Caenorhabditis elegans: one gene and its partner. The protein of the gene in region 1 interacts with the protein of each later gene in a pairwise test. Each region holds a gene or a part of one and is shown on either strand. Other genes may lie near its edges.

The links.
Region 2: the proteins of F20D1.3 (region 1) and ZC239.15 interact in a two-hybrid assay, tested with the Caenorhabditis elegans proteins (one large-scale study listed by BioGRID).

Annotation. Positions count from the first base shown.
Region 1 is NC_003284.9:14,973,935-14,979,289, reverse strand, and holds F20D1.3 (Protein Skeletor), read right to left. Parts: upstream 3,174-5,355; 5' UTR 3,173-3,173; coding exon 2,914-3,172; intron 2,861-2,913; coding exon 2,607-2,860; intron 2,172-2,606; exon of another isoform or gene 2,112-2,171; intron 1,763-2,111; coding exon 1,571-1,762; intron 1,525-1,570; coding exon 1,443-1,524; intron 1,386-1,442; coding exon 990-1,385; intron 945-989; coding exon 736-944; 3' UTR 577-735; downstream 1-576. Other genes in the region: tbc-1 (TBC1 domain family member 23), read right to left, coding at 4,758-4,839, 4,886-5,151.
Region 2 is NC_003280.10:3,222,553-3,226,748, forward strand, and holds ZC239.15 (BTB domain-containing protein), read right to left. Parts: upstream 2,180-4,196; 5' UTR 2,092-2,179; coding exon 1,981-2,091; intron 1,936-1,980; coding exon 1,666-1,935; intron 1,353-1,665; coding exon 1,241-1,352; intron 1,199-1,240; coding exon 993-1,198; 3' UTR 781-992; downstream 1-780. Other genes in the region: ZC239.13 (BTB domain-containing protein), read right to left, coding at 1-101, 152-262; ZC239.16 (BTB domain-containing protein), read right to left, coding at 2,218-2,574, 2,623-2,733; ZC239.17 (Potassium channel tetramerization-type BTB domain-containing protein), read right to left, coding at 2,930-3,328.

The DNA of each region.
Region 1 (5,355 bases):
TTCTCGTGATTTCTCAAGTTTCACCGTTAAATTCCTTATCAATTTGCAGTTGTTTCGTTTTTTTCTACTTTTGCTTGATTCATTGTCATAGTCAGTAACATAAACGAAATAGTGAGATATAAAGAGATTTCATTGTGAAGGAAAAGGAAAAACCAATTCCTATATGTATTTACTTCCTGGTTCTTTCTTATTGATTTTTCATTTCTATGAAATAAATGCAGTAGCAGTTTTTTTTTAATTCTTTTAAGAAAAGTCGAACTTTGATTCAATTTATCAATAAAAGCAAACTTCAAAAAAAATCATTAGAAAAAAACCAACAAAACTGATGAGTAAAATGACATCGGTTTAAACAGGGCGCTCTTCTCTTCTTGCATGTAACCCGTTATTTCGCCTATTTCGTTTTCTCTGCGTTCTCTCATAACAAATGGCGTATCTATTGACGTTTAGAGCTGTGAAAGAATGAGAGCAGGCAGTGCCAAGCGACACGGGTTCCAAAATATTTTGAAAAATGTGAACAAAGGTATTTTTTTTGCGTGAAAATTAGCCGCTACTAAAAAATTGAAATATAAACACTTCTTGGCACATCGTCTTTATTTATGCTTTAGCGTACAGAGTATTAAACGGGATCACAAAATGGGCTGCTTTAGGGCTTCGGATAAATATCAAAAAGGTCATTAAAAATATACATATACAACAATTGGCCAGGATCAGATAGTTCAGGGTGCATAAAACATTTTACTGGATGCTGCAGCTCTTCTTCTTCTTCTGAGTTGGATAGTAGGCATTCTGTCCATCAGAGGTTTGAGTGTAGCCGCCTTGCTGGTTCGCATCATATCCGGCGTTTCCGTATTGATCTTGAGATGGGCCTTGTTGGTTGCCCGCGTTTCCATAGTTGCTCTGATTTGGATTGTATGATGGGTATGGAGGAGCTTGTCCTTGACCACCTGAAAACAATATTTTATGATTTTGAACATTACACGCTACTATGCCTTGATTTCCGTAATTGTTGGATGGGTATGGTTGGTTGGATGGGTTAGAAGGATACGGCGGATTTCCAGACTTCTCATCCAGAGATGGGTATGCTGGCGGCGCTGGGTTGTATGTGGAATACGCTGGTGGATGACTAGCTTTCTCAAGACCAGAAACACGGAGGATGCGAAGATGTGTTCCGTTTGGTGGCATTCCTGGAAGCGGTTGATCAAAGTCTCCCCAGACGTAAATATTTCCAGAGTGACACGCAGTGAGGCGAGGCTCGATAAGTGGGCACGGCATCTGAGATGGAATCTGAAGCCACTGGAATGTTTGAGTATTGAGAACCCAGTAATCCAAAAGACGCTCGAAACCGCTGCCACGGTCAACCTCTCCTCCGGCCATCAGAATTGCATCTGCAAGAAAATTCAGTTGTTATTTGTCGTTAACTGATATTTACAATTAAAACTCACTAGTAACAGAATCAAATCCACACTGCTTTCTCGGGATCGGCATTCCACGCTGTGGATCTCCAGAGCAATTTTGCGATGTTATCTGAAATATCTAATAGTATACTGGTTGGCTCTCCAAATTGACTAACGTGTTGAGGACTGTTCAAATTGAGGAGATGAACGCGAGTGTTGTCGAAATGACCATCAGGGGTTGCAGACAAAAAGACGATGTTGCCATTGTTAAGGAATCCATCGTAGAAATGGTTCAAGTCGGCGCCGGGGACTGTGAACTGGGCGACAGGTGGCTGAGACGATTCGGCCATGCAGTTGATGCGCCAAATCTGAAAAAAAAATCTTAAGTTGCTGCATATGCAATTATGAATGCGAAAATATGCATTTTAGTTAAACTTTCCATTACGATTGGCCTATTCGAATGAAAGTTGTTGGGTATCAACGTGTATTTCCCCACGACGTGGCTAAGAAAATCGTACAACGTGAGCTCTCTAACTAACTTATTTATTCCTTACAATTAGTTTAGTACTAATATAATAAACTACTCGTCTTCTCCTCCTCGTTCCTCCTTCAGTCCTCGTCCTGCCGCTGAGGACGTCCTGCTGAAAAGACATCCTCCCTAACAGGCATAATCATTTCCTATAGTCAAGTACTACAACTTTGCCCATCCAAAAAGGTAATAGAGAAATTCCAGTGGTTGTAATACTCGATGTTTTACAACCATCTAGAAGATCGCTTACTTATAATAACATAACAAAGGATTTAAGCACACAAAAGAATCGAACCCGCGACCTTGAGCACATAAGCCATCTACGCAAACCACTCGGCCACCAGGAACGTTAAGTGTTCGGACCACCAAAGTTTACAAAACAGGAGGCGGAAGCTACCTGCGTGGCCCTAATTTGGCAATCACTTCATAATTAAGAATAAACAGTCAAACGCGCAGACTACCCGGAAACAGGTGACGTTGAGATATCGAAGTGTAGTGACCCACGACGTGGCTAAGAAGATCGTACAACGTGAACTCTCAAACTATTATTCATTAGTAATGTAATAAACTACTCGTCTTCGCCTCCTTGTTTTGCCTCGAATACATAACAAAGGTGATAAATCAAATTCAAGCCAGGTGCTTGCCAGAAGCATATGCAATCAGGCTCCGCACTCATTTCTCACCTGAAGCCCTGGATTCGCCATAACCACAATTTCTGGAAGATCTTCACGCATTGAGCAGATGTACTCTCCACCAATAGTCAATGCCTGGGGAATTAAAGGCCGAACATTGGCGATTGAAAGTCCGTCTTGGGCCAAATCGATTCGAGAAACGTTAAGACGAATTTGTCCGTAGACTTCTTCCTCCGTGACGAGAACGAAAGCAGAGCCGCCTTGTGGAGATGGGCATTTAAGAGCGAAGAGGAACTTCATTTTTCCTGAAAAAAAAGTTGAAAATCATTTGTATTGCAAAACGGTAAAAAAAGAATACCTGGACTGTGAACAGGAATCTCTCCAGCAAAGCATTTGAAGTTGGTATCAAAGATGATCAATCCTGGGTATCCTTTTCTCTGTCCACTTGTTCCACTTTGCTCGTCGGCCTGTGGATCGTAGAGGAAGTAGAGCTTTGAGCCATCAATTGACTCCTGCACATCTTGGAACACTGCCATGCGCCATTTTCCGTACTGAGAGTCGAGAGGATGTGGGGCTTGTCCCCAGGCGACAGTGATGTCCTCACTGTTTACTTGCATTCTGGAAGATTAAAATGTTCGTGTTGAAAATCAAAAAGTTGGAAAATAACAAAGCAAAGACAAGGAAATCATCGGACAAAAGGGGTCAACCGACGTAATCAGAATGATAATGGTCAAAAACTAAATTCAAAATCTAAACAGCCCTCTTTTCGACGAAAAACTGGTTCCCCCAGCCAGCCAGCCAGCCACGACCTAAAACAGACGACGTGCGCCGAAAAACTGAAGAATAAACGACGAGAGAAAAATAGGAAAAGGCACGATGAGTCAGCATGTTGTTGTGTTTGTGTGTGTGTGTGTGTGTGTGTATGTGTTGTGCGCGCTCAATTATTAGAGCGCACTTGCAATTGTTGCCTATCGATCCCTTTAATGCCTTGTGCTTAAAACAAAACACCTTGATAGAACGACATCTGTGAAACAAACATTATTGGAACGTGGAATTATTTTTCAGAAAAAAGAACACTAAAGTTTTGTCCAACTGAGAGATTTTCGATCAAAAGATGATCACTGCGGGTTACCGAGGAAAAAGAAAAATGATGTCATTGTTTGCCGGGAGATGGAGGAGGGTGCGAGGACGGAGGAGATATTTTGCTAGGGGAGAAAAGTCTAGAAAGTTTCATAATAATCTGATTTCGAAAGGCTTGAATAACGTGTATAAATTTCATTTCAAAAGGTTTACTGGCAAAATACTATAGTGAAATAGAGGGAAAACATTATTTCTTTCAATAAAATACACTGCGTTGTGAACATATTGAAAGAATGTTAAATGTAGAATAAATGAAAAATCATGAATAAAACGTACTGACTTTGTGTTGGAAAATAATACCTTCAAAAAATATTTGTAAAAATTTAAATGTAAACGCATTTTATTTATCAGTTTCTCAAATTTAACCCTTTTTCTGTAGAGAATGATGGATTGCCAAAGATGAACACACTTAAAAAGTTTAAAATTTTAGAAGCTTGAATATTTAAGAGTAGTGTGCAGAAAGCACAATCATTTCACGAGTTTTGGTAGTAGATACGCATTTGACTGTGCTATGTGGGACTTTAAGTAGGTGGGACCTAAAGTAGGACTTTGAAAAGTTCAAAAGCTATCTAAAAATCTAACCATTTGTTGACTATCTTTTTTAAAAAGTGAACTAGCATGTTTTTGCAATTTGTCCTCTTGCAAGCTTGTTAGTTTTTGCCACAGTCAATATAAAACAAAACACTCGTATTGACACTGTACTTTTAAAACACATGCATAGTAACATTATCAAAACACCTCACAAAAATAACATTTGAAATCGAACATTTTTAAAATATATAATATGTTTTCAAACAACCAAAAAACTTTGAAATACACATTCATAAATATTTATTCCGTTATCACTACATCATGTCTAATAAATTTTTGATACCACAGGCAAAATAAAGTGATTTTTTTCAAATATGAAGTATTCCCGAGAGACTACTTACAGTAAGAGGAAAGCTAGTACCCAGTTTTTACAACATTTTGCAAAAAGTGAAAACCCAGCAAAATTATGACGTATAATTATAATCACATGAAAGGAAAGCATCGTTAGTTTTATTTTTATTTTTTGGAGAATTATGCATCGGGAAGTGGACGAAGAGCGTAAATTGCCAGCTTGACTGCTTTTGCACATTCACCAGCTTTTGGAACATATAATCTGAAACAATATACGGTTTTCAATAAAAACTGATATAAATTCTTACTTGTGAACAGCAGTAATTTTTGAGGACCCATTCATCTCGTAGCCCAACTTAAAGGTGAGCATCTCAGGAACACTCCGGCGACTTGTCACAGCGACAACAGTGGAAAGAGCGTGGCGGGCTTCAGTTGTGACGTATCCTTGTTTTCCTGGTACATCATGAAGCACGTAAATGTGTGTACGGGTGAGTGCAATGTGGCCGTTGATGCTTCCATCACGGAATACTTCTTGGCACTCGAAAGTTTCCGTGAATTCTTTGGACAGGAGAATCTGAAACTAGATGGGTTTAGAAATTAAAATTGATGACTGTGCCGAAATTTCAAAAGCATCATGCACGTTTTATAACACAAAAATTTAAATTGTTAAGTTATTCTACAACATGGAAATAATATAATTTTTTAAAGATTTTAGGGGGATCGGAACAAAGTTTTTAAAGATTTTTCATAATTTCCGGTCAAGGGTTTGCCAAATTTC
Region 2 (4,196 bases), on another chromosome or scaffold:
TCGGGAAGTGACAGGTCACCATCTCTCATGAAATTTAAAATCCTGTTAAAATGTTTCGGGGAGCGATCGATAAAAATGCATCCGGATTCGTCAAGTTCCAGCTGAAAATTTTCAAGTTTTCAAATCAGGTAAGAAATCAATATCATGAAACCCCTGTTCCAGATTCCAGCATAGTTTTAAAAATGCTATCGAGTTTCATTAATGTATCTTTTGAAGTTTTGAAAATAGTTCCGCCAACGTCTAGTTTAACAGTTTCACTCATTTTTGAAAAGTTTTTGAGAGGAAAAAGAGAGAAAAACGGAGTGAAATTGTGTTATCAGTGAGCCGATCGATTTTGAATTATCAGTGTTGCGAAATTTTGTTTTTTTTTTTACAAAAAAATCAAAAATGTTAAGAAATAAAAAAAAACTTCTGAATTGAAAATATTGTCAAAAAATCCACAAAATGAGTTAATTATCTCTTTCTCTGCTTCTCCAAATACAAATATTGACCAAACTCCCCAATCATTTTTTCTAATTTTTCCAAAAAAGTTGCATCCCGAATTATCCGTCCGCCTCGATTAATTCGAAGATTGTGCGGAAATTGACTATAATATCCATTCTCGGTAGATTTCCACTTTATCCTAGCTTTCCATTTTCGAGAAGGTTCGTCTTCACTCAATCGCTCTTAATCGATTACGGTAATCAGACCCTTTCACATTCAAACATAGTTTTGAATAATCCATCACATTTTATTAATGTCGGTCTTGAAGTTTTAAAAATAGTTCCGCCGATGTCTAGTTTAACAACCTTGTTCATATTTTAAAATAGTTACGGTTTGAGGCACAGATGCAACCAAACTCAAAAAATAAAAATAAGAATGTTTGTTATCAATCAGACTTTGAACTTATCCATGTGTTTTGTGTTTAAAGATAAAAAAACAAGCTTACTAAATTATAATTTTTTAAGCTTCTAAATTAGAAATATTGTCGAAAAATCCATAAAATAAGTTAATTATCTATTCCTCTGCTTCTTCAAATACTCATCAAACTCCCCGATCATTTTTTCCAATCGTTCCAAAAATGTTGCATCCCGTATTATCCGTCCACCTCGATTAATTCGAAGATTGTGTGGAAATTGACTGTAATATCCATTCTCAGTAGGTTTCCATTTTATCCTTGCTTTCCATTTGCGAGAAGGTTCGTCTTCACTCAATCGCTCTGAATTGACTATTTTATGAGGATAATGTACAAAAAACTTACGAAAATAAATATCGAACTGATGTGAATACTTTTCCATGAACTCGTAAAGATTAAAGTTATAGGGAATCGACATATCATTCCCAACCATGCAAAATTCAATTATGAGCATTGGCTGTAAAAATTATATGTAGAGCTGAAATTTTTTGAAGAAACTGGTTAATTATTTTATGATTGACAAACGCCATACAGTGTGGCCTTACTATTAGGACTACAGCTTGCACTGGCCTATAGTTTAAGCCACGTCCTAGCCAGGGACTGTGGCCGATAATACAGTCATGGATTGCTCCACTCTCCAATACAGACTGGGTGAACCTAGGGGATGAGTCTAAACTTGAAACCGCAACCTCTAGCTTTCTAGCAGCTACCACTACCGACTGAGATATTCCTATGAATTTGAAAAACTACATTATTTTATCGAAACTCACCTTCTGTTGAACAGCAAGAATTTGAAGAAATTGTTCATCGCTTTCAATAAATCGAAGTTTTATCTTTGGAGCTTCAACAAGCTCAATCTTTGAATTGCACAACTCAATGAGTCCGTCGAGCAAATAGAATTGAGCTTCTACTAGCAGCTCCTTCAGTTTCAATTCACAATTGGGTAGAACCACGTCGCCGTCTCGCATAAAGTTCAGTATCAAGTCGAAATTTTTCGGAGACCGATCAATAAAAATACTCCCAGATTCGTCAATTTTTAGCTGAAAATTTGAAAATTTATCGGGAAATTTTTGGAAAAATCGGACCCCAATGTCACTCTCCAACATAGTTTTGAAAAATCCATTGAACTTTGTTAATGTAGATCTTGAAGTTTTGAATATAGTTCCACCAACGTCCAATTTCACAGTTTCACTCATTTTCGAAGAGTTTTCTAGGGGAGAAAAAGAGAAAGATGGAGTAAAATTTTGTTATCAGTTATAAGATTATCGATCAGTACATATTTCAAAATGATTTTTTTTAACAAAAATTAAAATTTCCAACAACTAAAAAAGATAACATTTATTTCTTTTTTCAACAATAAAATAGCCTTTTAGTGCAGGCATGTAATACACAAACACTAAAACCAAAAAAATTATTGAAAAAACAAAAAACCATGATAAATCATATTTTTTAGTGTTTGCTCTTTGATCAATTTGGACCTTTTTTGTAGAATTAAGTTTATCACAGCACATTAAGACTAGACCATCCAACCAGTAGAATTGAGCTTCTGCCATCAATTCTCTCAGCTCTCTTTCATCTTCTGGCAGTGGCAGATCACCATCTCTCATTAAATTCAGAATCAATTCAAAGTGTTTCGGGGACCGATCTATGAAAATGCATCCGGTTTTTTCAATTTTCGGCTGGAAATTTTCACGTTTTTTTTTGGAAAAAAACAACGATTTTCATACCCCAGTTTTGCATTCCAACATAGTTTTGAAAAAGCTATGGAACTTTGTTAATGTATCTTTTGAAGTTTTGAATATAGTTCCGCCAACGTCTAGTTTAATAATTTCACTCATTTTTGGAGAGTTTTTGAAAAAAATTGTAGAGGAGAAAAAGAGGAAAGTGAAATGAAGGTTTGTTATCAGTGAGTCGATCGATTTGAAGTTATCAGTGTTTTCAATTGATTTTTTTCCATACTATAATAGGTTTACGTTCGGGTCTGTTCACATTTCTATGATAGCATAATACAATGAAAATTGCGTTTAATAGCCACTAAAATAGGTAGCATTTACTAGATTTTTCAACAATAAAATAGCTTTTTAGTGCAGGGATGTAATACACAAATACCAAAAAAATTAATGAAAAAACAAAAAAACGAGTATAACTATTATTTTTAGTTATTGGTTTTTGATTTTGAATCATTCGGAAGTTTATTATAGTGCTAAGTTTCACACCGCACTTATTGTACAGTCCAAACATCTGATAGTAATTTGCTTCCGCACACAACTCTCTCAATTCCTTCTCAGTTTCGGGCAACCACAGATTCCCATCTCTCATTAAGTTCAGAATTAACTCGAAGTGTTTCGGGGAACGATCAATAAAAATGCATCCGGATTTTTCGAGTTTCGGCTGAAAATGTTCAGGTTTTTGGAGAAATATAGTCAGCAACATTATACCGCAATATCACTTTCAAACATAGTTTTAAAAAAGCTATCGAGTTTCGTTAATGTATCTTTTGAAGTTTTGAATATAGTTCCACCAACGTCTAGTTTAATAATTTCGCACATTTTTTGGAGAGTTTTTAAAAAAATTGTGGGGAAGAGAAATGAAGAAAGTGAGATGAAGTTTTGTTATCAGTAAGTCTATCGATTTGCAATTAACAGCCATTTTTATATTTTTAACAAATTTTAGGAAATAGTGGCGGTGGAGTTTTTTTCAAGACATGTATAGAAAACTTTCCGATTTCCGCTTTTGCAAATTGTGCAAAATTTCTGAAGGAATTTTTATAAGAAAAAACGGATGACACATATTTTTGACATTTTTTCTCGTTTTCAGCAAGAATTCTAATATATTTTTTCTCATTTTTCATGTAAGATACGTGTAATTTTGCAGTTACAACTGAAATTTCAAAATTTCCAATAAAAAATGCAATACCTCAGTCGAAATTTTTCGGCAATTGAAGTTTTTGGCAGCTTCACAAAAAATTGAAAAATTTCCCATATTTTTTGAAACCAGCAGTTTCCGAAGATTCCAATTGCCAAAAATTTTCAAAACACTACAGTTTAAAATTGGGGTTATAACTTCATTTTTTTTTGTTTTTATAATCATACAGTGTGGGAAAGTTCTATAGGACCCCCCCTAATTTGAAGGTTTGAGGAACTTCCGAAAATTTTTTCGAAAAACTGCTAATGCCGTTCGTTTTTAAATTGAAAAAAACCTATATAAATTTTTTTCCAGAAGTTTATCTCAAAAACTGAGGTCGCGCTGGAAAAAACGTCAAAATCCAGTGTGAAACTTCTATAGGACCCCCCGTTTTTTT